Linked DNA regions of Rhinolophus ferrumequinum. The protein of the gene in region 2 interacts with the protein of the main gene of each other region in a biochemical or structural test. Links are inferred from orthologs where the notes say so. Each region holds a gene or a part of one and is shown on either strand. Other genes may lie near its edges.

Region 1 (6,969 bases), on a different chromosome or scaffold from region 2:
TTCATACCACACCCTCCTTTTCCAACCTCCCTCCCTGATTTGCCTTCAAAGCAGATTCATGAAAGAGAAAAGGCAAATAGATGGACTCCATTGTAAAAAAAAAAAAAAAAAAAAAAAAAGTTTAAACATAAAAATCAAGGTATAGAAACAGATAAACAGCAAAGAAAGGATACACACTACACAGATATTACTCCCCAGCCCCCATATAGTGCATTTGTGTTTAAAACACACTCAGCTTAGCTGGCTAAACTCATATTGGGAGGATTCGGGAAAGTAAACCAAGAATAAGGGAGGTGCGTGCTTGCGTACATGCCTGTGTGTGTGTGACAAAAGTATGCAAAACAAGGCAGAAGAGGGAAAGTAGTAACTAGTAGAAAGTAAACTGGAAGCTGAACCCATCTTATCTTTGTATTCCAACAGAACAAGGCACATGGTAGATGTTTAATAACACTGACTGAAGGAGAAAACAGTTTTTCAATTATCTTAAAGACCACATGAGGCACTTATTATGAATGCAGATTTGCAGACCCTGGACCAGAGCTATTGAGTCAGAACCTCTAGGGAAGGAGCCTGGAGAGACTTTAAACAAGCTTCCCTAAAGTGTTTCTTACGCACAGGCAAATTTGGACAACAATGATATAAGCAAAAGGTGACGACCTACAGTGATCGCTGGGATGAGCTGAGGTCTCTAGATCCTGAAATGTGAGTTCTGAATGAATTATTTTCCCACTAATTACTGCTCTATACCCCTTTAAAAAAATGCTAGGCAGGAGGCAAGGACATAACCAAAGACTCCTGGTGTCAGGAAAAAAGGATATGGAGAGAACATTATGAAAACTACCCCAATTCAAGCTGCCTGGAGACTTCCAGCACTCTGTGACCCTTGTGGTGGGATTCTGGTTGAAGATGACTCTAGTAGTAAGACATACTCAAGACTAGGTGCCGAACTGTCCAGGGAGATGTTCTCCCATGATATGGTTGTCCTGTGTGGAGGAAAGTGCCCAGCATCCAACAGACATCCCATTGGGCCCAGGAGACAGGAGGTCCATGCTCCATAACTCATCGGCCATTTATTTTGGAGTAAGGTCACTTGAGACTAGGGTACATCATTTGCAAGTGGGGTGGAGGGCAGAGGGGTTGATTAGGAGGTCTCTAAGGACTTTTTGAGCTCTAAAATACAGTGCTCCTGGTCGAAGTACCTAGTGTGTCTTTTTCCTGCCCCTTTGCTAGCCTGATACATCACAGACACTTGGAGGATAAAATAGTCCAGTTGCTTAGGACCATAAAAATGACCATTCAGAGGCAGATCCAGAAACACCAAGTCCAGTGTCCTGCCTGACAGTGTCCCCAGGGGATGGTCTCTCTATGGGTCCTTAACAAATGTTTCCTTTCTTGCCAGTCTTTATAATAGAGTTTTTCCAACAAAGAAGTTCTAGTAAATTTCAGGACTGGGATTCAGAAAGAGATGTTGCAGAACTTGCAGTGAACACAAAGTTTTTTTAAAGCTATGCTAGTGGACTTAAAAGACTAGAAGAGAAGGAATAGCCATGTCCCTTGAAGGCACAAATTTTTCTGTAGTAACAGAAAGTTGTAGAGACAAGCACAGACCTCAACAAAAAAATCCCCCTCCTCTAGGCTGAGTTCCTGGCAGCAGCCTACCCACGCGATGTGGTTGGTTTCTGAAGCTCCCCCAACTATGCTGAGTTAATCACCATTCTTCACGTTTGCCCAGACACTCCCTGACGACTGAAAGCTGTTCAGCCCCTGTGCCCCAGGTAGGCACTGACCAACGCTCTACTGAGCAGAGAAAACCCAGAGCCCCAGGCCGGCGCCCTTACCCGGGTTAAAGAGCACGGTCCCCTTGAGGTAGGCGTACTCCTTGGTACTGATCCCCAGGCTCCAGCACTTGATAAGGAAGCTCTTGATGGCTTGGACCTCGGTGGCCCACGGCAAATGCCGCCCCTCCATGGGCGGTACCAAGTTTGGCGGCAGCGTGTGGAGAGGCAGCGGCTCGTCGCCCGCGATCTCCCGCCGCCTGGTGGTGAGGATCTTTTGCAGCAGGCTGGGCTCCCAGGTCTCCACTGTCTCAAAGTTCATGCGGTCCTGGGCCAGCTCGAGCATGAGCAGCGAAGCCCAGCAGCTGCGCACCAGCACCAGCTGCTGGTCTAGGGGCAGCACCTGGAAACAGGCTAAGTACTTGACGAAGCGCAGCGTCTTCAACAGGCCTGCGGAGGCCGCCTCGCAGACCACCTGTGGATTCTTGAGGGCCACCAGCCGCTGCGCGCTACACAAGGGGTTCCACCAGGGGGCCCCCGGCTGCACCTCTGGAGCCGCGTGCGTTTGTTTTGCGCTCGTGGGCACGTTGAACGGGATGCTGCCTTGCCGCGGGTGGTCTTCACCGCAAAGGCAGCAGCGGTACAGGAGCGCCACTGCCGTCTTACCTGGCAGCTCCTCGCTGCCCCCCAGCCTCTGCGCGCAGTAGGAGCGGTCCCACCACCCGCCTCCGGGACGCGCCTCGGGCGCTTTCAGAGCCACGTGCGTTTGCTTTGCGCTTGTGAGCAAGCTGTAGAGGATGCTGCCCTGCCGTGGGTGGTCTTCACCGCAAAAGCAGCAGCGGTACAGGAGCGCCGTGGCTCGCCCGTCCTGCAGCCCCTCTCTGCCCACCGGGGGCTCCACGCCGCAGTAGCAGCCCCAGCACGCGCCCCGCATCCGCGCCTCGGGCGCCTCCGGAGCCTCTTGCATTTGCTTTGCGTTCGTAAGGATGTTGTAGAGGATGCTGCCCTGCCGCGGGTGGTCTTCACCACAACAGCAGCAGCGGTATAGAAGCGCTACTGCCCTCCCACCCGGCAGCCCCTCTCTGCCCACCGGGGGCTCCGCGCCGCAGGAGCAGCCCCAGCATGCGCCCCCCAGCCTCTCCTTGGGAGCCTCCGGTGCTTCCGGAGCCGCGTGCGTTTGCTTCGCGCTCATGAGTATGTTGTAGAGGATGCTGCCCTGCGACTGGTGGTCCTCACCCGCCATGGCCCGCGGTGTCCGCAGCCGGACTCTGTCCAGTGGCAACCGCCTGGGAGCTATTTATACTGAGCGCGCACGCACGCGCGTCGGCCGTCTCCGCCTGGGCAAGGGCGCGGAGGGGGGCGCGGCGCTGCGCTCCCGTGTGTTTGACGGCGACTTCAGCGGTTCATAAGGGGCAGACACTACTTAGAGGCTGGAACTAGAAGAGGAAGGGAGGCCTGAGAACTCCTGGACACTTTCCTGTTTGCTCTCATCACACCCTTCCCTGCCTCTGGAAGACCAAAGCAGAGCCGGGAACAGGTACTTGCGGCACTGTTCCAACTCTTTCCATTGAACTCTGGCATCTCATTTGCTCCCTTTGTTGGGAGGGCAGGGGTGCCTAAAACGGGAAAAATATATGTCTATGCCATCTTTGGAAACTTTCACCGAATGATGAAACTTTCTATGACTTATATTTTGTATATGGATAGGGAGGTTTCAGTTTTGGGGACCTTGAAAAATATAGACCATGGACCAGCACTATTAGTATCATGGGAACTTGGTAGAAATGCCCAATCTCTGGCCCCAATCAGACCTTCTGACTCTGAATCTGCATTTTTAACTTGGTCCCCAGGGGATTTGCATTCACCTTAAATTTGGAAAAGCACTGGTCTAAGCATGCAATCGAAAGCTGTGGGGACAGAGTCCCAGAGAGCAGTTTCCAGGCTCTCCGCCTCACGTGGAAAGGTGCTGGCGCTGGTAGTAGATGGCCATCAGCTGTGACTAGTTGGCCATCAGCTGTTACTGGTTAGCCATTAGACACTGATATAACTGCCATAGGTACGCTGGGTTGGTTGGGTTGCAGAGAAGTGGACGCTGGATTGCGAATCGTGTGGCTCCTGCCTCCTGTGTCTCCAACCCAGCCGCCAGCGAGAATATAGTGGTGTGAACCCCTTATCCATGGCTCCGTTTGTGTTCCTTTTTGGCCTCACCATATCCTGTGTTCTTATGTGGGGAGCGGGAGCAGAGACCCCGCATGACAGAAGTGTTTTGTTTAATTCTATTAATATTTATGAGCACCCACTGTCTTAGGTGCTGTGTTAGAGAAATAGGGGCAGCGACCAGGATGTCAAAGTGGCTACTATGGGGAAATACAATAATCACAAGGGGCTAAATCTTGCTACAGTGAGAACTTTGGATTCTTCTAGAGATATTACACTGAGTAGATGTGTAATCAACATTTCTTTTTCCATCCTTCCTAACTGAATAATGAGAAACACAGGTTTCAGGAAAGCTAGATTCTTAGGTTCTCACTTGTCACACAGCCTCCTTCCTTGAGTTCCATACAGGCACTGAGATCAGTGGGTCTCCCCACACCACCACCTGCCCCTAGTGTAACTAGTTGATTGTTTCACCAACCAGCTGGGTAATTTCAAAATCACAACCCTTTAGTCCTCAAATTCCTCATCTCTAGAATGGCAGGTTTGTTTAGTGATCTCTTGGGTCGAGGATTGAAGACATGGAGCAGGGAAGGGGTGGGGGCTGGTGTATATCAGCTGGCATAGGATCCCCTTTCTCTTTTTTCAGTTTCTCTGGGACCTAGAAATTCAAAGCTTAAGAGAAAAATCTAGAAAATATTTATTTTGCATTCAACCTGAAATTTTGTTCTACCTGGGAGAAGCCCTATAGCACAGTGGCTAAATCTCTAGCACTGGCACCAGATTGCCTCAATTTTTATTCTGGCCCTGACACTTTGTAGCTCCGTGGCCTTGGGCAATGTATTAGTTTTCTGTTGCTGCTGTAACAAATTACCACAAATTTAATGATTTAAGGCTACAGAAATTGATTATGCTACAGTTCTGGAAGCCAAAACTCTGATATCAGTTTCACTGGGCTAAAATCAAGGCGACGTTTCTTCTCGAAGTGCTAGAGGAGAATCAATTTCCTTGTCTTTTCCACCTTCTAGAAGCTTCCTGCATTCCTTGGCTCCTGGCCACATCACTCCGACTCTGCTTCCATCTCCTTTCTGACTCTTATAAGTGTCTTTATAATTACACTGAGCAAACCCAGATAATCTAGAATAACCTCTCCATCTCAAAATTGTTAAATCACATTTGCAAAGTCCCTTTTACCATGTAAGATAACATATTCACAGGTTCTGAGGATTCGGACACGGACATCATTGGGGGGCATTATTTAGCCCTTTACAGGAAAGTTACTTAAGCCGCCTGTACCTCAGTTTCCTTATTTGTAAAACATGAAGAGTGGTTTCTGTGAAGTAATCCATGTACATGAGTTACTTCATGTAAAATGTTTGCTTGGTATATGATAAGTATCCCCTTTTTTTAAAAGATAATGTGGGATAACTTCAGGGTTAGGAAGTGATACTATACCATCATTATTCTCTCCCAGGGAAAGCCACCCTCACCCTCCACCCAGGAGCTGTCTCATTTTCTTCTACATGTCCACATTTCTTGGCCCAGACTCAAAACACTGGATGGGTTACCTGGTCCACACAATAATGTATTAGGGAAATGTTATCTCATTGTCCATTTCATCATTTGCCATTTCCAATATTCAAGCTACTATTTTGGGTATGCTATTGCTATTTCTACAGTCTTCCTGCTTGATGAAGCCACCAAACAACCTAGCTGAAAACCCAGGCTGCCTCAGTCCCAACGTAAGTTGCCAGTGCTAGTTACTTTATACTATGTTACCCTACTTTATTTTCCTCCTAACACTTATCCGAATCTGATATGATTGATTTGTTTAGTTATTTGATGCTGGTTGATTGTCTCCCCTCTCCACTAGTATAAAAATCCCCTGAGGGCAAGGAATCGGTCACTCTATATCCCAGCAACTAGAACAATGTCTGGCATACAGTAGGTGCTCAAGAATATTTCTGTTGGCTGACCACATGTTTAGAGAAACAGGAGAAGGCTATAGCTCCTACTCTCAACACAGAGGGCAAGCATTCCCACACAACTATTACTGAAGTGACTCTGGAAGAAGGAGAAGTTCGAAGGCCCTGTTGGACTCAGAGCTTCGTGGGGACCTTTTTTGATAGAGTGCTGCAGGCACTGTGGTAAAGTAACAAGAGGACTGAGTGAATAGTCAAAAGATAGGACTGTGAATTTGGGCTCTTTCACTCTTATAATGTTGAACAAGTCATTTAACTTCAGCCTTCACACTTGTGAAATGGGAAAAATTCTATCAACCGGTATGAATCTGTTCACTTTGTTCTTAGTCCTTCAAGGGTTATTTTTTTTTTCTCAATATAGCCCTTCACAGAAACGTTTTATTAACCTCTTCACTACATTGAAAATATAAAGCAACGTAAGTTTACACTGATTCACTTTCTAATGACTTAACATTGAGCAAAACGTTCAATATTACGTTAACCTTTTCACACCGAGTGGGTACTAGACTTATCGGGGGGATCACTTCATAAATTATATGAATATCGAACCATTATGCTGTACACATGAAACTAATATAAAATAATATTGAATGTCAAAAATAAAAATTAAAAAAATTTACATTAGCCTTTTCAGCTATGAAAGCAGAAAAATGCTATAAACTATTTTAATATATGTACTCTATCCCTATATTATTCAAAGGTTTTTCTAAAACTCATCTTGTCAACTGTATTTAAAAACAAACACAAAAGAAACCTAGTAACTTAAGCCCATTTTTTTGTGTGAGTTTAATCCTTCACACCTCACACGTATTAAATGACTTTGCCTTTCAGGGATTATCTCACATAGAACCTTCAGTACAATGTTGAGAACCATGAACTTGTAACATATTGGTTACAATTCCTGTTCTTTCCCAGGAGCAGTCTTCTGATATGTTTTATTCTTGTGGGGGTTTTTTGTCTTTTGTTTTTTGAAGTTGCAATCTTCTATTTGCAACTCTGATGGACTTTCTAGGTTCTTTGGATTGAGTGTGTCTAAAATGAGATTGCCTGCTTGTTCT
Region 2 (7,924 bases):
AGGTACAGGTAAAATTTCGTAACTAGATTTAAAAATCATGTGTGGGAACATAATAGAGTCATTCAAACAGTAGTGTATTTGTGAATGTCAATGTGTGTGTTTAACCTGTCCAGCATGTTGAACTGGTTATACTTTTTTAAATTTTAAATTAAAATCTTCTAAATCTCCTGAGAATTTACATTGTCTAAAGACTGATAAATGGTATCTCAGATAAAAAGGAGGAGCAAATGTCAGAGCCCCGATTGTACATGGCTGCTGTAGATAAGTGACTCGACTGGATGACTGGAAATACAACACATTAATTTTCCTAAATTCATCTGCAAAATGGTTAAATATCACTATTAATGCCAACATTATTTTGCTGAATCCTTGGGAAATAAAATTTTTGACATGATTTAAAATGTTTGCCTTAAAAAGTAATATACCAGAATTTTTAAATACCTGAGGTCTGTCAGTGGGACTAGTTTAAATATAGTGGGAGTAAAATGGGAATCAATTCATGTACGACCAACTCCCACTACCAGGCCTGTATTTCCTTCCCAATATAACAATCATAGTATGCAATTATGAACCTGGGAACAAAGGTCCCCTGGTTGGAAGAAAAGCAAATGTATTGGCAAATCTCAAATGAAATAAACAACTGAGCATTAATTACAAAAATTAAGTGCCATGGGACCAAACATCAATATTCTGAAGGAGTCCCTGTGGTTGGGGAAAACTGAACCAAGGCACAATCTTCTGTCCCTAGAAACTCCATATGGCTCAGACTGCATACGTATACTGTTGCAGAGCGGAGACCATGTGTTGTGTATCATTTTATCCCCAGCACTTAACAGAAGGTCTGGCACAAAATAAATACTCAATAAATGTTTGTGGAATGAATGAATCTGCAACTGTAGTTTATACAGTGTTATTCCAACTTCTTAAAATGTGGTTAAGAAACACATTTTACACCAACTCATGTTACACACAAATGCACATGCATGTATAACACAAACGTTATGAAGCAACACTTTCTTGAATTCGAGGTATGCTTTCTGATAGTTTCTGTTCTCTTTTGTTCCTCTTTATTTGACATAAAAAAAATGCTGGGTATGACCCATTAAACTGATTTAATAAGCCACCAATGGATCAAGGCCAATAGTTTAAAATACAGATTTATACATTTCAATTTATATGGCTTCTTATATTTATAGGCTTCAGTAACTATATATCACTTTTTTTTAAATGACAAAATTTTTGTATCTGGAAGGGAATTTAGAAAGTATTCAAACCAACTCTAAAATGTTGCACTGGTTATGAATTCCCTGCAGTGGGATTCCTTTTATCAGTGTTGTTTAATTCAAATTTCCCCCGCCGAAAGCAGATTGGCCCTACCTCACACCATACACAAACTTTAACTCAAAATGGATCACAGACCTAAATGTAAGAGTTAAACCTATAAAACTCTTAGAAGAACACCTAGGAATAAATTTCCATAGCTTTAGGTTACGCACTGATATGCCATTCAGAGAAAAAATAGATAAATTAGATTTCACCGAAACTGAAAACTCTTTTGCTTCAGAAAACTCTTGCTTTAGATGACTCCATGGAGAAAAAAAGAATTACAGGACGGAAGAAAATATTTGCAAATTAAATACCTGATAAGGGACTTGTATGTAGAATATACTATAAATAACTCTTATAAATTAGCAACAAAAAGACAAATAACCCAATTTAAAAATGGGCAAAGGATTTGAATAGATGTTTCTTCAGAGGATACACAAATGGCCAATAAGCACAAGAAAAGATGCTTGTATAACTAGTCATTAGGAAAATGCAAATCAAGACCATAATGAGATACCATTTCACACCCATTAAGTTAGCTAAAATAAAAAGACAACAGTGTTGACAGAGATACGGAGAAATTGAAACCTTCATACATTGCTGCTGGAAATGTAAAATGTTACAGCCACTTTGGAAAACAGACTGGCAGTTTTTTAAAAACTAAACATAAAGTTACCATATGACTCAGAAATTATGCAATGAGGTATATGCCCAAGAGAAATGAAAAATATATGCATACGAAATCTTGGACGTGAATGTTCATAGCTGCATTGTTCCTAATAGCCAAAGAGTGTAAACAACCCAAATATTCATCAACGGATGGATGAATAAACAGAATGTGATATATTCATACAGTAGAATAGCACTTGGCCATAAAAGGAATTGAAATACTGATACATGCTACTACTACATAGGTGAGCCTCAAAACATTGTGCTAAGTGAAAGAAGCCAGTCACAAAAGACCTTGTGTGATTCCATTTATATGAATTGTCCAAAATAGATAAGTCTATAGAGACAGAAATAAATGAGTGGTTGCCTAGGGTTAGGGGGGGAGTAGGAGGTTTCTTCTGGGGTGATGAAAATGTTCTAAAATTAGATGATAGTGATGGTGGAACAACTCTGTCAATAAAGTAAAAATCATTGCATTGTACATTTAAAATGTATAGTATTTAAATTTTAGATTTTGTATATTATATCTCAATAAAGCTGTTATTAAAAAAAAAAAAAGAGCAGATCGGAACTCTGGAATGATCAAGAAATAGGATGCATGCAGCACTTCCAGGCCTGAAGGTAGAATGCTGAGCCACCTCAACCTGACTACCTAAATTGCAGGCAAAGAAACAGCGTTTTTCAGTGGTCAATAAAATGGTTTTCTTTGAAGTCCCTATAATAGAATCGTGGCCCTTAGCCTCTTATTTTAGGGGATGAGTGGAAAGATACACACCTATTGATTTAAGCTCTGAACTTTCTTTGAAATGATACTCATCCTCACAAAAAATTCCTTCAAACTACAAATGAAGGCATTCTGCATTAGAGAGCAAAGAACTAGGTAGGCATCCCCAACAAATTAAGATGCTAAAGGACTAGAGAGCATCCTGGGCAAGTAATTGATACGGTTCTTGAAATCAGGGATTTTATTCTCCTTTGGGAGGGCCAGGCCGAGAACAGGATGTGTAGTAAATGCAATTGTTAGAAGGCAAAGAAAGTAAGGCCTCAGGTCCGGAAGACCAGAGGCTTTCTGATTGGGCATCTGTCAACCCCCCTTTGAATGGGTCCTGATGGAGAAAGCAGCAGGAGAAGACGCTGCCCACGGTCTACCCTGCAGATTTATGACGCAGCATGCCCCTGACTACTTCTCAAACTTGAAAACTTGACGTCCCCACACCTAGCGTCTCACCGCTACCCCATGTGTCCGAGTCCCTTCGTGTAAGGAACACTGTTAAAATAATTCAAGAAATTATGTTAATGAGTTTAAGAAATACTTTTAATGATTAAAGCTAAAACTCTGTCACGTTGACTAATGAATACCAGTTTGAATTACAAATGAAAAAGGGGGGCTCTGAAAGTGTGCAGCACCATTAGGATATCAGATAAAAACCAGGTGATCGTAAGTATGCTTTTAACTACTTTTTGTCAAGAATGTCATGGAAAAGAGCAATTGCGGGGCGAGTGGGAATCTCGCAGAGCACTCTGCGAAAGGCGAGACACACTGGCCTGGAGAGGGCGGGCGGGCTCCAGAACCCCACATCCCGGGCTCTACTCTAACGTGACCCGGGGCATCTTTCTGAGCTTCGCCCGGGGCCCTTCTCTGTAAAATGGGACCATTCGGGGCCGCCTCCCAGCGGTGATTGTGAGGAACAAACCGGGCTGGGCGCCGAGTAGGCGCTCAGAAAAGGCAGCCTCGGAGGCGAGGGGCCCTACTGTGCGCCAGGGCGCGGGTGCCGCGGGCCGCTCCCTCCCCGCTCGCCCGCCGCCCACACCCCGCGCCCGCCCCTGGCCCCGCTCGGCCTCGGGCAGGCGGAGCCGACCGCACTCCAGGCCCCTGCGGAGCAGCCGCCTGGGGCGCTCGGTCAGCCGCCGGGACACTAGAGCGGGGCGCCACGCCGCCGCCGCCGCCGCAGGTCAGAATCAGGGTGCCCGGGGGCGCTCCGGCCCACGGGGCCTCGGGGCGGGAGATGCGGGGCGAGGGGAATCGGGGGAAGGCGGCGCGCAGAGGGGTCCGGGACCGAGGAGGGTCTATCTATGCTGAGAGCTGGCGGGGGCTGAGGGCTCGCTCAGAGGGGACCCGGACGGACTGAAGGGTCGCCGCTGAAGGGGTCTCTGGCTGAGGGGTCGTGGGCAGAGGGGTCACGGTCCGCGGGGACAGGGGCTGACAGGTCCGGAGCTGAGGACTGAGCCCCGAGAAGTCCCGGCGCAGCGCGAGCAAACGCGGCGGTGGAGGGCAAGGGCTGCACGCGAGGCGCGCCAGAGAGCGGCGGTCCAGCCCCAGGAGACGCGAGCCCTCGAGTCCTGCGCTGCCCTGGGTGGAGGTCCTAGAGGACCCGGGACCTCCGATCACCGGAGGAGGTGCTCAGGCTTCCGGGAGCGGCTCGCGGGGGACATTGGGGTAGAAACGCGGGATCCCGTGCGTGGCCGTCTGGCGGCCGTGGAGTCCTCTTGCTGGGTCTGCAGAACCCAGGCGGCGATCGCTGTGTAGGGTCGTAGTGACAGTTAAGCGAGGGACGCCCTTGGAGTCACCCAGCCCGGTGCCCTTAAGCTCTCTGCTGACTCTGAGCCGAGTGGAGGGGTGGGGGTGTGGGCTGGAGCCCCCAGGGTCGTCGGGGATGGAAAGTGCGGCTCCCTCTCATCCCCTGTTGGGAAAGCGAGTGTTAGCGTGTTGCAGGCCCCCACTCGTCCGCACAAGCTTTACTACTGCACTTGTAGCCTAACCGAGGTAGGTAATCATGGTCCCTCAGTGTAGGGGGTGCAAGGTGGGTGTGTAGTCGTGGTACTTTATGCCTTGGTATTTGGGGAGGAGCCTAAGGTAAGGAGGCAGAAACTGGGAGTAACCTATCTGCTGCTTTTATATAAGGTCAGTTAGGTAAAGAAGGGGCCTTTACCTCTGCTGGTGAATCAGAAGGCTGCATTTCTAAATTCTTCTTAACTCCCAGTGCTTAGGTGAGTCGGCTCACTGTAACTGCATTTTGCTGAAATGTTTTGGTGATGTATCCAAAATGTGCAAGATAACGTTGATGGTTAATTACATTATAGCGTTATTATTTTGCTGTGCTCTTGCTTTACGGTGAGAATCTAATTCACTTGAGTTTGAGGATAATGGTTGGAAAAATGAAAAATTATTTCAGGAGAATAAAGTAAAACAGCAGTGTGTCATGAAGAAGCTAAAGTTTTTCTTCTTTTCCTCCTTTTAAGCTTGGGGACAAAATGTAAAATTAATTTGTGTAAATTATCATCTGAAAACAAAACCGAGCAAGATGATGAACTGAGTTGTGTGAAACCTATTGCTGGAGAAACTCGATTTTGAAGTACAATTTTAATGTTAGGTGTTTTAATCATTCATGAAACAAATTGTAATGAGTTATTGGGAGAACAATAACCAGCTTACTTTTTAAAGGACCTGAGTAGATTTGTTCGACGGATCTCAGGTGTTCTGTGGCAGTCTTTCTTGTTTAGGGCTAAGTGTTCAATTCCTGGCTGAAAGTAGAACCAACCTGATGGTGCTAAATGAGTTAGAAAACCCTCTGGTATAGAGAATAACATAGACACTCACTGTGGCTTCTCTCTTAAAAAAATACCTTCCACTCCTATGCAAGTTTTATAGAAAATACTCATAGATACTCCCAGTTAGCATGTGGAGTGCTATTTCAAAAGATCCTATTCAAGTTTTAAAACAATTTTTGTGTTGTCTATTTTTCAATCAGATTCACTCTGGAGGTTATATATGTTCCATAGGATTCTTTAATATACAATATTTTAAAACTAATGTGTTAGCCAAGCAATGAAGTCTGTTACAAAACCATCCATTTTTGTCTTACTTTGTACTTCATATAATTTTTCTTCTTTATTTAAATTTCATGATATCTGATACTCCGCTTGCTGATAATTATATCTTAAAATAAAACACCTTAAAATTAACTAGTGACTGCTCAGCCTTTTCTTACTGGAAGAAAAATAACGTGATTTAATTTTTAAATCAAAACTCTTTTTCATATTTAAGTTGGTTTGTAGCTTTTGCAATAACTATTGTAAAAGCATGGCATCAGTGAAGTATAAAGGTTGGAGAATTTCAAGCTAAGTTTTTTGGTCATGGTTTTTTCATTCTTAAATTTAAAAGAATATAATTTCTTTTTTAAATTAAAACTGCAGCTAGTATTTTAAATAAATACACTATTTTCTTTGAAGAGACTAGTTTCCTTACTGTTCATTTCTTTGTATATTTCAGACTTACATTTAAAAGATAAATGATCATTTTTAAAAATCACAATGTTAATTTCAAAATCCCTGTGACATAAAATTATATTATCCCTATATATTAAAATTTGTACAAGAGAAAAAGTGTTACTGTAGGAATTTGCATTAGAAATGCACTGCTGATCATGGCTAATTGCTTTTAATTAGTAAGTAATATGACTATAAGCAAATACATATTTTCTCTCCTCTGTAATTCTCTGAAAATAAGGATGCTTGCCACTAACTTTAATTATCAAGATAATCATGCATGTAATAGCAGTGTGAAAGGCACTGCTATGAAAACATATGCAAGTATTAATAATGCATTTCGTTTTTAAATTGTGAAGCGGTTGTTAATAACTGGAGACTTTCGTGAAATAGGAAAAAAATGTTAAAATAATACATTACAAATGTCTTATATATTCTGGCCCATACTTTTGTTTCTTTCGTAGGCTCTACATATGCCCAATGAATAGAACAGAAAATGTTAGTCATTCTAATTTGTGAGTGTTTTGCTGAATTCATTGTCACTTGAATTTGGAAATATAATATATATCATAGGTGCGGCAAATGTACTGGAACAAGTTTTTGGTCTCATAGGATTCCACTAAATAAATATTAGTTGTAGAGGATGTTTTTTGAATCACTAATCAAGAGCATTTAAGACACCAGTCTATAAGCATAAACATACGCCCCTCCTCGCCTTAAAAACTGTTAAACTGAATTTCTAATTTACTTTTCTTATTTTTTCCTAGCAAATTCCCACGTAAGGGTAGTTGACTCTTGAGCTGTTCCTTTCTCTCTCTTAAGACTAAAAAGTAACAAAAAGAGCAGCGATGTAAAATGCTGACAAAGGTCCTTTAAAACTGATCGATTTGACTTCACAAAAGTACAGTAAGATCTGTGAATAACCATCTTGCAAGCGTAGATAGCACCAACATATCATACTTCAGTTAGTTTCATAGCATTCTAGATAAAAATTTTAAATTTAAGATTATTTGTAATCTTCCTGGGGGTTTCTTATTTACTATTTGTATTTTATCACAAGACAGATGTAGATTTGGGGGAGTTATATGGCATATGTTTTAAGCTTATTTAATAAAAATATCATGTTTTAATTTTTATTTACCTAAAATACTTAAGTAGGTTCTTGTAAGGAAATCCGCTCAAATACAATAGGCCATATTTTGGGCGAAATTTTTGTAGATACTAAGACAACAACTATCACCAATAATAGTATATACTTAAATTATTTTTTATTTTAAAAATGGGTTCATGTAATCTTAATGTTTTTCTTCAACAATGCGCACCAGTATTTTAATACTAAATATTTAATTCAGTATATGAGTGTGTTTACATTTTTAATTGTTTCAGTTATTATAGCGGGGCAAGTCTCTAATCCTTTCTAACTCTCCATTTCATCATCTGTGAAATGGGAAAAGTATTGCAGTTACTGTTCTGTGCTTTTTTGTTTTTTGTATGATTTTTAAGACTTGATCAGCAACCTGTGTATCTTAAATGATATGACGTTGGCCCTGAATTTAATTGAGCAGATATTTTAGAGAACCTTCATAGTTGTCTGCATTATATATAAGTAACTCTTTTACAACTGTTAATAGTTCACCCTAGCACTAATTTTGAGATTATTCTT
Region 3 (6,794 bases), on a different chromosome or scaffold from region 2:
AGTATGGCAGCTAAACCAAGGCGGTAGCCAGGCCAGCCCTGGATACCCTTGCCCCCTCCCATTGGGAGAACAATAGGCCATCCTCTTCTGTTGTCTGAAGGCCTGGAGGAAGTGGATGATGCCGAACTGCAGAAATTCCAGTGACCTTGTCCATTTCAGTTAGGGAATGGGCTGCTTTGTTTTCCTTATTGTCTGTGATTGGGCGCCTGTAGTGGGCAGGAGCTGAGGGGTCAGTGAGGGGTTTGGGGACAAAGAGAAACTGCTCCCCCCACAGAAATAAAGGCAAGGAGGTGACGGGGTCCTGAACTGATCCTATCCCCTGGACTCAGAAATGTGCAAAATCAATCCCATCCTCAGAAATGAAATCATCATTCCACTCTGAAAATTAATATCCTGGTTCTCTGAGGTCTGGCTCTTGCACCCCTTATGGTTCCTTCCTCTTGGGCTCCCTCTGATGGGGGCAGGGTGGACCCTGGCGGTGAGATGGTCCCTTCCAAATGTACAAAATACAATGTCAGCCTCCAAGGGTGTAAGCCTTTTATTACAAAAACCAATAACTTAAGTCAATTCTGTACAGTCAGTAGGACTTTTGGCCCAATGAGCCGTCTAAGCTTCCGTCTCCATCCCAGGAGAGGACAGGATTCTTGGCCCAGAGACTCTGGGGACCTCCAAGGGCCGGCCAGACAGCTGGAGCACTGTGTCCAAACCAAGGAAGACCAAGACAGGCTGTGGCTGAGTGAGAGGGCACATAGTCCGTCTGGCTGGGCTAGGGCCAGCTTTCTCCTAGGGGGCTGAGTGCTCTCTAATAGGCTTGCCCCCTCTCAGAGCATTGGGTCACTTCTGGGGGCAGCTGGGCCAAATCAGCGCTGCCAGCTTCTGCCCAAACTATACCTGATCTCTGCTTGGGCTGGAGCAGGTCGGCTCAGCAAAAGCATGTCCTCGAGGAGGCCAGCGATGTCAACATCTCCAATGATAGGACGAAAGAAGAGGTCCCCAAGTAGGCTGTGTGGAATGGACTTGAGGGAGGAGGCTGTGAGGAGGACATGGGCCAACCGGCCTTGGCCTGCTGGGCACCAGGGCTCCAGGACCTCAAACAGTGCCTGATGAGCCTCCTGTTGCAGGTGCCAGATGTGGGAGGAGGCATGGAGACCTGGCATGTCTGCGGGCAGAGGGTGAAGAGCACTGGTGAGCATCCCACTCCCAGCCACCACAGGGCGAGACTGGCCCCAGACCTGAGGTCACTGGGAAAATTATCTTATCTCTGTGCCTCAGTTTCCTCATCTGTAAAATGGGTATAATAATAGTTCCTATCTTGTAGGCTTGTTATGAGGTTTAAATGAGCTAATATATGTAAAAAATGGAATCGGGCCTAACATACAGTAAGTGTAATATGAGTATTTCGCTAGATTATTATAATTAATTACTATAATTTACGTATTCCTTGAGGGCCTGTTGGTGAGGAATTCTTATCGAGATGTTCTCCAAATTACAAACAACACTACCTCTATCCCTTGCTCTCCTAGCTAAATGGTACAAAGACTCCTTCCCCACACTCCCTCATTTTCTTTCCTCTTCTCTGTGTGGTCTTTCTGAACCCACAGTTTTACCTTGACTGAGGCATAGCTGTGTCTGCCCAACCTCCCCTCCCCCACTCCTTCTTTTCCTGAGTGTCAGGGCAAGCTTCTTGGGCAGAGTGGTAAGGGCCAATCTCTAGTATGTACAGACCTGAATTCTAATCCCTGTTCTGCCCCTTCCTGGCTCTATGACCTTCAGCAGATCATTTAGCCTCTGTGAGCCTCTTTTGTGAGATGACTGGAGATAAAGAGGACCCAAAGAGATAATGAATGTCAAACCCCTAAAAGGTGCCTTCCCTGGCTGGGCCCTGCCCCCCTCCAGCCTCGGCCCTTATCCTGGAATGTCTGAGAGCTCACCAGAGTTGAAGAGGATGGTCCCTTTCAGATAGGCATATTCTTTGGGGCCCAGCTCCAGGCTCCAGAAAGACTCCAGGCAGCACTGAAGCCACTGCACCGCAGCTAGCGAGGGCTGGGGCCGATCCGGCATCTGGCCGCTGCCTGCATTGCTGCTGCTGGGCTCCTCCAGCAAGATCTTCTTGAGTATGCTGGGAACCGGGGCCTCCGCCACCTCGAAGGTCACAGTGTCTTGGGCCAACCCAATCAGGAAGAGGGGGCCCCAGCAGCCTCGCAGCAGCTGCCGCTGATCCTGGGGGGGCAGCTGGCAGAAGGATGCCAGGTTCCTGAGGAAGACCACGGTCTTGGCCAGAACGTCCAAGGCTTGCCTGCAGGTGCGATGGGGAGCACGCAGCCGGACAGGCCGGTGCTGCCTGCACAGGCAGTGGCTGCGGGCAGGGGGCACAGAGGGCCTGGCCCTAAGGCTGGGGCTCAGGAGTGCGTACAGAATGGCTGGGCGGTCTGCAGCACCCTGACATGGGCAGGTCCCCGGCTGACTGGAGCTCATGGTGGAGGAAATGCTCCTCCTTCCTCCTGCTCTCCCGCCCTCTGCACTGTGGGCACTATTTATATTCCCAATGGGGAGGAGGGGGGAGCAGCCCAACAACCTTGACTCCAGAAGTCATATTCATTGAAAAAAAAGAAAGACACTGACCCTGGCAGGACTGGTGGGGAAGTGCTGGGGGCGGGGGCCTTGAGAGCTCCACGTGGCCCTGATAGGCTTCAGTCAATGAAGTGGTCGGTGCAAGGCATGGGGCCACCTGTCCGCTGGGCCGGCTGCCCCTTATCAGATGACTCAAGCAGATAAACAGGGTCATTAACCCAGGCTGTACCAGGGCACCAAGGCCTCAGGTGCATAATCAGCAGGTGGCCATGGCAGGTGTCCCTATTGGTGCCTGCAGGACTTTTGCTAAGCTGGGAAGTCAGCCCCAGAGCTGGACAAGCCTTGAATGCAAGGCCCAACCTGGAAATGCCTTATCGCTGATTTGTTTGCCTAACCTTGGGGCCTAGCTCCTGTTGTTGGTAAGGAACAGGCTGCAGAGAAGGGAGCCGGGACCCTGGGGGGCTGGGGAGGACTTTGCCCACTGAACAGTTTAGGAGGCCCCTTCCTCTGACTCCAGTTCTGGGGGCCCTGCAGAAATGAACTCTCTCTCCCCAGTCTGTATTCCTAGAGCTCCTGAAAGGCCGTATCTGCTGAGAAGCACTGGCAGAATGATAATGTAATATGGCTACTGTTTATTGAACACTTTCTATGTGCTACTTTCCACTCTAATATTCAGAGCTTCCTTATGAAGCAAGATTTTTACTTTTTGAGATTCACAGAGGGGAAGTGACTTGTCCAAGGTCATGCCACTAAGAAGAGACAGAGCCCAGATCTATCTGATTTCAAAGTCCTTGCTTGTTCCCCTGAATCTACTGGCCCAATTGTGCAGCAAGAGCTGTGTGGCCTGAGTTTCCCAGAGTTGGTGGCTACCTGGACCCCTACCTTGGTGCTGCCTGGTCTGCAGATGTTGCCCACTTATGATCTAGGCAGAAATGTTGCTTTGCTACCAACCACTCAGCAACTCTGTCTCAGACAGTGGGGCATATTATGTGAGAGTGGCGGGAAGGTCCTCGGCTGTGTCATGTCTGTGGACCTTGGCAAGCCCAGCCTGGGCAGCCATCACCATCCCTGGCATCTGCTCCTGGCTCTATCACTTTACAGTTGTGTGACCATGGGCTGATTTCCAAATTTCTGTGGGCCTCTGGAGTTTCATTTGAAACAGTAATGCCTGCCTGCAGGGCTGCTGTGAGGACAAAGTGAGGTCCTGGATGTCAAATTCCAAGCAGTTTTTGGCATACAGTAGAACTTTGCTCCCCCATTGCCTCTGTCTAAGGAACTAAGCCCCAGCAGACAAACAGGCACACCTCTTTCATTTGATTGTGAATTGTCTTAATCTTAACATGTATAAAGTTCCTTTCACATCCTTTTTCTCACTGAATTTTCCACAGCGTCCCCTCAAAAGAGACTCTGGAGTCAGATTGCTTGGGTCCAAATTCTGCTTCATCACTTAGCTGAGTGACCTTGGGCAAGTCATTTTATATTTCTGTGCCTCAGTTTCCTCATCCTTAAAAGGGTGGCAACAAAGGCCAATAGTAGATATTGGTTTATGGGGCTTGAAGCTTATACAATTTGAAGGACCCTCTTTAACAATAGAGAATCAGGTATAGAAGTGAATATTTAAAATACGAAAACAAATCACTACCAATTACAAACTAAAATGAACTGACAGAAAATACAAATGTCACAAACCCAGGAGAATAGCAAGATACTTTTACTGGTTGCCTGACAATATTTGCCTACGTGTTTTAGCTGTACCCTCTTTGCTCACCTTTTCACATGTCAATACTATTTCTTTTGAAAGCATCACAAACACAGAAAGATTGCAAGTACAGTACAGGGAACTTTTTTTTTTTTTTTACCTTGAACCATTTGAAAGTAAATTGCTAACTTGATGCCCCAGAACTCTCAAATACTTTAGTGTGTAATTCCTACAAACAAGGACATTCTCTTATAAAACCACAATATAATCATCAAAAGCAGGAAATTAACAATGAACAAAATCAGGAAAGTAATATCTAATCTCAGACCCCATTTCAGTTTCACCAAATGCTCTTGTGAAATCAGTGACAGTGACCGTGCTCAGTCCAGAATCTCACATTGCATTTCTTTGTCATGTCTCCTTGGTCTGTCAGTCAGTAAACTTTCCCTCTGTCTTTCCTTGCTTTTCAGGACCTTGACACTTTTGAAGAGTTGTAGTTATTTTGTAACAAGACTCTCAATTTGATTAGATTCAAATTATGTATCTTTAGTAGCAATATCACAAAACTGATGTTGTGTTCTTCTTGACTATTCTCCATTTGGCCCATGGTTCACTTTGGTCACTTAAGGGATGTCTGCCAGGCTTCTCCACTATAGTTATTCTTTCTCCTTTGTAACGAATCAGTATTTTGTAAGGAGGCACTTTGAAACTATGTAGTTATTCCTCCTCATACTTTGATGTATGTATGTATGTATGTATGTACGTATGTACATATGAATTCATGGTCTCCTACTTTATTCAGTGGTTTGTAATCTATTACTATCATTATTTATTTTGATGCTCAGATTGTCACAGATTTGGCCAATGGGAGCCCCTTCAAGCTTGAGTCTATATATATCCTTTCGACATTCCCCATTGTTCCTCGAACATCCCTTATTTTCTGGTATAACAAGGTGTCTTTTTTCCAGCCTCTGGAATCAGTCAGTACTCCAAGAAGCTCTGATTCAATGTTTTAGTGGAGAACAGTATTTAAAAACCATAATCTGGGCACTAGAGCCATGTCTAGAAACCAAGACCCTCTCATTGCAATTAAGGTGTCACTGCTCCCAGGCCCTCCCAGAGCTAAGAAACGCCCACATGTGCTCACGTACAAACACACACACATTCATACTTAGTTCTATTAATTATTTATACATATTAAAAAACCATGAGTTCAGACTATTATCTCCAATTCTAATACACCGTAAAGGGGGTTATTGTAGTTTTCATCTCCATTTATACCTCCATCTTCTGACACTGAGCAATCTGGCTTCCATTATTCTTAATTTATTAACCTGTTGCATCAAGCCCTTGTTTTTAACCAGTCTTCCATTTCTGCCACCACTTTGTCCCATATGAGATACCTTCCTCACCCATTGGGCTCTGATACCTTGTGTCAGGCTGCCACCTGCCACTCAGGGACCCCCTTCTTCTCCCTACTGAGCCCCTGTCACCCATGCCAGGTCACCGCTCTGTGTGGACACCCTCCTCACCATGCTGGGGCTCTGACTTTTGCTCTGGGCCACTGTGGCTCCCGCCTCCTCTACTTGGGGCGCATACCTCTACCTTGTTCCACACAACCTAATAGTTTTAGGACTGAAATTTTCAGGAAGAGAAAAGAAGGGGAGGAGGTAGAGCTGTCAATGATTTTTAAAAATAAATTTCTACAGTGAGACTAGAGAGATGATTTTATCTTTTCACTCGCAGGATTGATCAACAAAATTTCATTCTTGATAAGAGACATAAACTTCACACATAGATGTATATGCTACTTGTAGCACTGTTTATAGGTTTGTAGTAGGAATTTTCATAAATTCTACTTTGTGTAATTCTTATCAAAAAAGAAAAATATGCATGAAGCATTTATAATTGCATATGCTGCATTATTCCTTATAGGAGAGAACTTCTCTTTTGAGTTGGTGTCAATATGAAATGACAACTTAGTGATGACTAAGTGATAGGATTTGGTGCAGCTTTGCTTTTTGTTCTACACATACCCTGTTTCTTCCCCCATCACCGACGTATTTCCAGGTGTCTTGGGAATCATTCATATTGGGAAGTGGGATGAGAGTGGGAAGAAACAGTGGTCCTAACCAACAAATTTTTAATCAATTTAAATTTTTATTTTTTCAAATTAAAAAGAAAAAATATGTATGTATATGAGGTCTGACAATTACATTCGTGAACTTGATATCAGAGGGATTATTCATTATGAAGTTGTACCAACTGGACAATCAGTTAACCAAGTTTACTACTGTGTTTTCCTGAAAATAAGACCTACCCCAAAAATAAGCCCCAGTTGAGATCGTCAGCCAGACAGATGCATTTAGTATGTTATGACGATGTCTCAGAAGAAGATGACATGACTGTATTTGAATATAGATTGTTGTACATGAAAAAAATAAGATATTCCCTGAAAATAAGCCCTAATGTGTCTTTTGGAGCAAAAATTAATATAAGACCCAGTCTTATTTTTTGGGAAATA
Region 4 (7,722 bases), on a different chromosome or scaffold from region 2:
CTAAAGGTCTGAAGCTATTGTAAAGGTTATCTGGTCTTCACTTCTGCTTTGGACTGTGGTGATTTGTAAGAACAGGAGTGAGTCAGAGCACAGGCAGAGGGCATAGGGTGTGAGGGGGAAAGGATAACATGTACTCAAAACCCTAGTTTCTTCATTGCTTAAGTTTAAACTGTCAGCCCCAAATCACACAGATGTTTTCTGCTGGGTTGCTGTGGACACCAAAGGTCTAGTACGTGGGCTGATAGAAGAGAGTACCTGCAGTGTGATCCTAATTTTCTTGTTTTTTTTTTCCACCAGCTATGTCTATACAGCCACTCCACTCCACCTCCAGTCCTCACCCCCTGGCAAATTCCACTTGATGCCTTCACTTCAGCCTTAGCCTATAGTGTTTTGCAAGAACAGGAGTGGCTTTGATGAAAGAAGCATTGGTTAAACACAAACAAAGTAGTGTTTCTTAGATTTGCCTGATCACAGACTCATTTGGGAAGCTTGCTGAAAACAGCTTTCTGGGGCCCACTCAGAACCTACTGAATCAGAAGCTATAGGGACCTAAGGAATCTGAATTGTAACAGGTATCTCAGAGTTTTATGACACCACCAGAGAGTAGAGCAGCGAGCACTTGACTTAAATCAGAACATCTGAGTGCTACTGAGTAACTTTAAGTATCTGGAAAGTTCCGAACACATTTATTGAGGATGCTCCATGCTAAGTGCTTTATGGAACAGGAAAAATATCAGATTAGGAGACTTTCTGGCTGCCTGAAGCAGGTTCCCAGGTATTGCCTTGGCTGGGTCACTACAGGTGATAGCTGAACCTTGAATTTGTGGCTCCAGAAATTTGACACTGCGTTAGTATCATGTGTCAGTGTAACTCTGGAATTTGATTATATCAGCCAAGTTAAGGGCTAGTGAGCCTTTTCTCCCTGCCATTGCAGCACACCTCCAAAGTGGCCAAAGCTTCCATGTTACCAGGCTTTGACACGCCCCCACCTGGTCAGGGCTGCATCATCACAGCCATGTCAGTACCACCGTCTTCTAGGGTTCCCATGGACAGAGCGTAGAAAAGAGTGACGTGGGAAGAGCCTTGATGCCGGAGTCACAGTAATGGAGTCGGAATCTCCATTCCTTGCATACCTGCTGTATGACCATGAATATGTTTCTTAATCTCTCTTAGCCTCGGTTTCCTCATTGCAAAATAGGGATTATCAGGGTTTAATGAGAATTAAATGAGATTCTGCATATAAATTCAGTAACTTAACAAATATTGAATGCCTTCTCTATGCCAGTTCTGTGTCCGCTAAGCCTGGGACAGTAACCAACACCTAGTTGGAGCTCAAAGTACCACTTCCCTCTTTCCTTCCACCTCCCTATTCCATTTGGCACACTGTCCCGCATGGAGGAAAGGTGCACATTTCTCCCTACTGTTCAGAGCCAACTCCTTTCCCCTGTAATTGCCTCATAGCCTAACAAGTTGTTCTCATGATTTTTTTTTTTTTTTAGTACAGCAAAATACAGCTTTTGATTAAATTTTCTCTGGGAGAATTTTTTTGACACATTTTACTCTCTAAGGGACACTGTGCAGATTGCAAGCTGCCCAGTGGCCTCCCCACTACCCAGACCCCTGCCCCAAGTGCCCAGGGAAAATCTATTTCCAGTTCTCACTTTGATCACTAGATTACCCTTTGGGAGGAGGACTGAAATGTCTTCTTTGATTAAAATATGTCAAGGGTCACCTTTTGGAAGGAAACATTGTCACAAAGGGCTCTGGGGATGGCTGCTTCTGTGTACACGTTGGGCAGGGGTAATTTAAATCTGGGGTGTATGGATGGGTTCTGGGAAAGTACTGAACCCTAACATTGTTTGCTCCCTTGAATGTATGGGTGGACACCCCTGGGGAGAGGGCCCCAAGCTTTTGTCAGCATCTCCCTGGACTCCGTGAGTCTGGCCTGGAGTGCCTCTTTGCTCATGTTGGCTGAGCCAGCGCCTACTCTAATAGGTCCCCATGACAGAGATGGGACAACTGTTCTCTTTCTACATTCAAGCAGCAGTACTGCTAGCCATTACCTGATCAAGGAGCACAAGAAGAGTCAGGCTGGAACAAGCTGCTTGGCCCTAGAACTTGCCTTTGGACCTCTTAGAACTTGCTGTTGTCCTGTGCACACAAGATGGATCTCAGGAACAATGTCAGGGATGGTCTAAGTTTTCATAGCCCAGGTTCCACGAAGGCATCACTTAGGGGTTGCAAACCAAGGGGTGCCCTTAAGTTGGTGAAGGGCATCCTGCACAGTTGGAGTGTGGGCTGCTTCTACCACAGAGCCGGCCCTGAGGAGGCTGGGCATCCTCTCCCTTCTAACACGCCTTCTTTTGTCTCAATGACAGGGTTGCTAAACCGGTGAATTATGACACAGTCAAGTGTGAAAAAATCCTCAACAAGGAAACCTGCACCTATACAGTGGTGGAGCGGGAGGACCCAGAAAAGACTTGTGATGTCAGTGATTGGCTTGTATAATGTGCTTCCAGTAGGTCTGGGTCTCCCAGCCAGAGGGGGCCCTGGTCAGGCCTCCTTGTTCTATGGCTTCTAACAGTCTCTGATTATGTAACCCTTCCTATCAGTAAAATCATATTGAGCAAACACTTGAATATGTGTATACTTTCAACTTATAGATTATGTATGCATTGATATAATGCACATTATAAAGCATGCAAACATTTAATGGAGAGAAAAAATAAATATGAATAAAAGTCATTATTTTCCCTACACTCCAATAGATCATCGTACATCTCCTACTCAGGCACTGCTGTTTCTGATATAGCTGCACTCTGCTTGGCGTCCCTCTATCTGGTGAACAATTCAAAAATTAATGTGTCTTTAAAATGAATTCAGATTCCTTACATTCTTGGAGGTTTTATGTTTTTCCTTCCTTCCTCTTTTTCAGAGTGTCCTCCATGCTGTATCCCTCATATATCTCTATATTTGCCTTACGTTAAGGCAGGTTAGAGTGGAACAGCCTGGAAGAAGTAGCTGTGAGACCGACCACATGCAGCCTGATGGGGTATTAAAGGCCAAGAGCTCTGGCGTGCGGATGAGGAATGGCTTGCGTGCAGCATTCCAGTATCAGTTATTTCTTGCTGCATGCAGACCACCCCAAAAGTTGGGGACTTAAAACAGTGACAGTGCTGATCATCTCTTGCTTCTGTGTTGGAGAACATTTGTTCACCCAACAGGTCTTTACTGAGTGTCTTGGCCGGGCAGTGCTCTGGGCTGGGGGTACAGCAATGAACCAGAGAGACCAGGTCCCTGGTCTTCTGGGGCTTGGAGTCAGGTATGTGTGTATGTGACAGATCACAAACAAGCAAACAGTTTTCTGTTGAACAATCCATGGGCAATTGGTAAAGGGCTTTAGTTCTCCTCTTCCCTTTAACCCTATCTGTTCAAAAATGTTATAGGACTAGCTGAGCAATCCTAAGCAGGCCCCTTAGTTTTTTTTGGTCACTCTAAGATTAAAAAAAAAGTGCTTTGGTCAACTTTAGTGAATCTGCATCTGAGTTGAAGAGGGAATGGGGGTCAGGGAAGTTAAAGGTATGATGCAGTCTTGGCTCCCTCGGTTTGCGGCAGTGGTTAGGCTGATTACTTCCTCATGGGGCCTTTGTGGGCCTCTCCGACATTTTACACTGCCCCTCTTTCTCCACTTCCACCCACAGGCTATGACTGCCTTCTTAGCTTCTGCATCTGAATCTATGTTTCCTGGTGTTCTCAGGGGAGATTGCCTTGACCCTTGGAGGAGTCACTCTTGGGTGGTATCCATAAAAACCTATCGTGATCATCTTCTTTGTAAATCCTACTTAGATGGCCCTTTATCTTGCTGTGAAACATGGGGCACAATTAGCACCAAGTATGGGGACCTCTGTCTAAATGGAAACAGAAGGATTCCTATTTTAACACCTGCTCACAAATAAATGAACAACGAAAAAAACTCCAATGTGATAATGCCGCATTAAGTTGATCGTCATGAGGAGGTACAGAGTGGTGGGATGCAGAGTGTAGAAAACTGTGCTGTGACATGGTGCAAACAAACACATGCTTTGGAATCAGATAATGTGGCTTGGAATGTGGACTCTGACATTTATTTATTTATTTACTGAATTTTTAAAAAAATTGTGGGAACATATATATAACATAAAATTTACCATTTTACCATTTTTAAGTGTACAATTCAGTGGTATCAAGTGCATTCACATTGCTGTGTAAACATCATCACAATCCATAACCAGAACTTCCCATCATCCCAAATGGAAACTCTGTATCCATTAAACAATAATTCCCTTTCCCCAAGCCTGTGGCAACCACCCTTCCAGTTTCTGTCTTTATAAATTTGACTACTCTAGGTACCTCATATAAGTGGACTCATAGTATTTGTCCTTTTGTGTCATCTAACATTTATTTTTGCATCCGTACGTTAATGCTAAATAATACCTACCTTGTGAGTACATTTGGTGTGAGAGAATCACTTAGGATATTCCTCCATACAGAGTACAGAGTTTGCCTTCAACAAAGGCTTGTTTCCTTTAATCTGATTTATTCAGTAAGGACAAAAGAACTGTGACCAAGAGCTCAGGAAAGAATGTGCGCCTGCGCCCTGCACCCTCTGGAGGGCAGACAGCGCTTTGGGCTGACACCCAGCGGAGATCTCGCGAGATTATCAGACTGTGGCGTGAGGTGTGGGTGGAAGGTTGCGCTCTCGCGAGAACTCTGCCATTGGGCCTTTGGTTTGTGTCGGGCTGTGTCTCTCCGAGGAAGGTCCCCTCGGATTGCCGGGAGTTGCACTTGGAGCTGGTAAGAACGGGCGGGCGCGCCCCCTTCGGAGCCTTGGGCTGGTCTGAGGACCATGACTGCTTGCCTTACGGGCTTGGGCCTGCTTTCTGAGGCTAGTTTCTCCTTCGACCCGCCTGGCTCGTGGGCCACCTTCTGCCTGCCCTCTCCCCGGCCATCCACACTCTCGGCCTGGGGCCACCTCCTCCTGTCTGCCGCCTTCCCTCCGGCCCCGGGTGTGACAGCTGCATGTCACAGCGTCTCTTGGAGTGAGGAGGGGCCCGTTTTCTAGAACGGGCCCAGAGTATATGCATTCCTAGCCTGTTGGGTGGAAACGCTAAGAAGGCAATGTTTTTTCGGCCTTATATGCCAACGTAGCTTGATTATCTCCTTTTTTACAGATGAGAAGAGCGAGGCTTGCTCATTCATTGATTCATTCCCCCCAACAATCATTTATTCAGTGCCTGTGTGTTCAGGGTGTTGAGGATATAGCAATGAAAAAAATGGACACAATCCTGTTTTCATGGAACTAAATACTATGTCAGGGACAATAATTATATAGTCATATGTGCCACGTGGTGTAACATGGGATGATGTGATCCAGAATGGCAGAAGTCAGACTGCTAGGGTTTATCTGACTGCAAAGAGCTTTTTTCACTGTACCATTTTGTATTGTTTTCTAATCACGGTAAGGTACACCATAGCGTAACTGTTTCCACCACCCACTTGGTAATTTGGAAATATGAGACTCTTGAGTTACTTCCTGGGGTGAGGATGGGGACGTCATCATAGTTGGCTCACTTCTGCAGTGGGGTCGTAGTGTGACATTTCTGAACTTGAAATAACATCAGACCCTTGGAGGAAGACTTACCCATTACCCAGATGCTACAGTGGAGGTGGGCTTAGACACGTTACTTGGTGCACACTTTCCAAGGTTTGCTAGCTTGTGGATTTGTAAGTGAGATAATATATGTAAAGTCTAGCACAGTAACATTTCTTTTGTTTTATTTCTCCTTCCGTCTCTTCTGTGGAACTTTTGTCCTTGGGTCCCTAGGGAAAATCCTAGAGGTTTAAAGTTTTATGATATTTTGTGTCCTCTATAATTACATTATTAATTTTGGGCAAACAGGTATTTCAAAAGTGGGAAAGCATGGAGAGCTGTGTAAGGAAAGGAAGATGTGATTTTCAAAGGGGGAGGAGATATTTTAGAATTACATAGGACTTCCCACCTCACCCCCCTTCATTAAATCAGCTTAGCTGTGCCAGAATCTCGGGAACCTATGTAGGGGCTTCATAAAGCTGCACAGGGTATTCTGACACATCCTTCCCACAACCTGAGAGCCACTTAGCAAGTGTTTTATAGTTTCCCTCATAGAGTAAGTGTGAGCATACCGGAAGACATTCAGAGCCATTCATTGCTGCTGATGGACTTTTAAATTTGTCTCGTTTCACAGAATTAGTATTTTCTGCTAGATTTTTGGTGAATCAGGGGCACAAATTCTCTAGATGGCAAGTTCACCATTATGTCCTAAGGGACCTTCATGGTACATGTCAGCTTAGGTACTCAATAAATATCTGTCGAATGAATACATAAAGCCTTAATAACTAAATGTAATAATTTGGTTCAGTGAAGGAATGTGTAACTTACAAAATAGGTTAAAATATTTTGTTTGCTTGGTCATAGATAGGATGTTAAGTCTTTTAATACTTGGATGATTATAGATTTCATAAGAACATAATCTTGGGTATATGGTGACTTTTATTTTGTCATTATTGCTAGTCCCCTGGCTTTAGAAGAGGGAAAATATTTTATCAGTTGTTTACTTATGTGGGGGAAAATCCACAAGATGTTTACCATATAAAATCGGGATAAAGTGGTATTATTACTGTGATGGCAGATAAATAACATGTTTTTCTATCCTTGACTATATTGTGGTGAGAAGTTTCCAGTTGAAGATAGGGCAGGGCCCTGTTCTGAAAGCCTACTAAACTTCTGTGATGTCAGCGGGAATTTCTGTGGCGCTGCAAAATCTGAGCAAAAAAATTCCTGTGGCTGTAAATACAGCACTATTTCCCATTTTACTGAGAAACATGCTGGTGCTTGTGGATCTGTTTAGCTGAGCTTTGAAGGGTCTAGCGTCAGGAAAGACACTTTATCTCTGCGTCTATCTTGGAATCATGGTTTCAGTGGCAATATCCTTGCCAGTTTTGTCTTGTTTGAAAGAAAACTAAAAGTAATAGTTATGCTAGAAACATTTCCACTTTTGAAAAACCTCCTTGAAATAATGCAGGCCTTAGTGGGACATCAAGTTGATTATCTGTGTTTAAAGCAGAACTATACCTTACTTATGGTAGCTGGTCTTAATTTAAGCATTTATCATTTATTCATTCATTTATCAAACATGCATTAAGCCTCTGTTGAGTTTAGGACTACAGCATTGCATAACTCCAAGGACGCCTTCTCTTTGTGTCAATGCAATAGAGCACATGGACTGTGAAAGGGGTTGGTAATACCAACATACCGATACCAGGCATTAGCTGTACAAAGCCAAATAATATATGGTCTCTTCTTTTGGGGAGCTCTCAGGCTAAGGAGGCAGACATGTGACAATAAGGGTAACGTGTTACAGGTGTCATGCTGGAAACCTGTGAGATTGCAGTGGGCCCAGAGGACGCAGCAACTAACTTGATTGACCAAACCTATTGAGGGACGGGTGCTTGGTCAGCAAATGCTTAGTAGTAGCTGTGACATGAGCATAGTCAGAAAAGTGACAGATGAGGAGAAAGGAAGGAACTGACGTTGCTGGCAGAGAAAGCTGGGAGACCAAGCTGGACAAGGTGAACCAGCCTGGATTACGTACGGGACAGCTGTCTGGCAGATCATGGTGTTGGTGGCTGCTCTGGGGAGAATGC

The links.
Region 1: the proteins of PPARG (region 2) and NR0B1 form a complex in vitro, tested with the Homo sapiens proteins (2 studies listed by BioGRID, with this or other methods). The link is inferred for Rhinolophus ferrumequinum from reciprocal best matches to the Homo sapiens genes PPARG and NR0B1.
Region 3: the proteins of PPARG (region 2) and NR0B2 form a complex in vitro, tested with the Homo sapiens proteins (2 studies listed by BioGRID, with this or other methods). The link is inferred for Rhinolophus ferrumequinum from reciprocal best matches to the Homo sapiens genes PPARG and NR0B2.
Region 4: the proteins of PPARG (region 2) and NCOA4 form a complex in vitro, tested with the Homo sapiens proteins (2 studies listed by BioGRID, with this or other methods). The link is inferred for Rhinolophus ferrumequinum from reciprocal best matches to the Homo sapiens genes PPARG and NCOA4.

Annotation. Positions count from the first base shown.
Region 1 is NC_046284.1:102,306,687-102,313,655, reverse strand, and holds the start of NR0B1 (nuclear receptor subfamily 0 group B member 1), read right to left. Parts: upstream 3,019-6,969; coding exon 1,839-3,018; intron 1-1,838. UniProt on the Homo sapiens protein: Nuclear receptor that lacks a DNA-binding domain and acts as a corepressor that inhibits the transcriptional activity of other nuclear receptors through heterodimeric interactions.
Region 2 is NC_046300.1:42,145,482-42,153,405, reverse strand, and holds the start of PPARG (peroxisome proliferator-activated receptor gamma), read left to right. Parts: upstream 1-4,917; 5' UTR 4,918-4,983; intron 4,984-7,924. UniProt on the Homo sapiens protein: Nuclear receptor that binds peroxisome proliferators such as hypolipidemic drugs and fatty acids.
Region 3 is NC_046292.1:18,430,314-18,437,107, forward strand, and holds NR0B2 (nuclear receptor subfamily 0 group B member 2), read right to left. Parts: upstream 2,581-6,794; 5' UTR 2,476-2,580; coding exon 1,932-2,475; intron 1,160-1,931; coding exon 861-1,159; 3' UTR 521-860; downstream 1-520. UniProt on the Homo sapiens protein: Transcriptional regulator that acts as a negative regulator of receptor-dependent signaling pathways. Specifically inhibits transactivation of the nuclear receptor with which it interacts.
Region 4 is NC_046299.1:64,575,893-64,583,614, reverse strand, and holds the start of NCOA4 (nuclear receptor coactivator 4), read left to right. Parts: upstream 1-4,717; 5' UTR 4,718-4,833; intron 4,834-7,722. Other genes in the region: MSMB (beta-microseminoprotein), read left to right, coding at 2,379-2,508. UniProt on the Homo sapiens protein: Cargo receptor for the autophagic turnover of the iron-binding ferritin complex, playing a central role in iron homeostasis. Acts as an adapter for delivery of ferritin to lysosomes and autophagic degradation of ferritin, a process named ferritinophagy.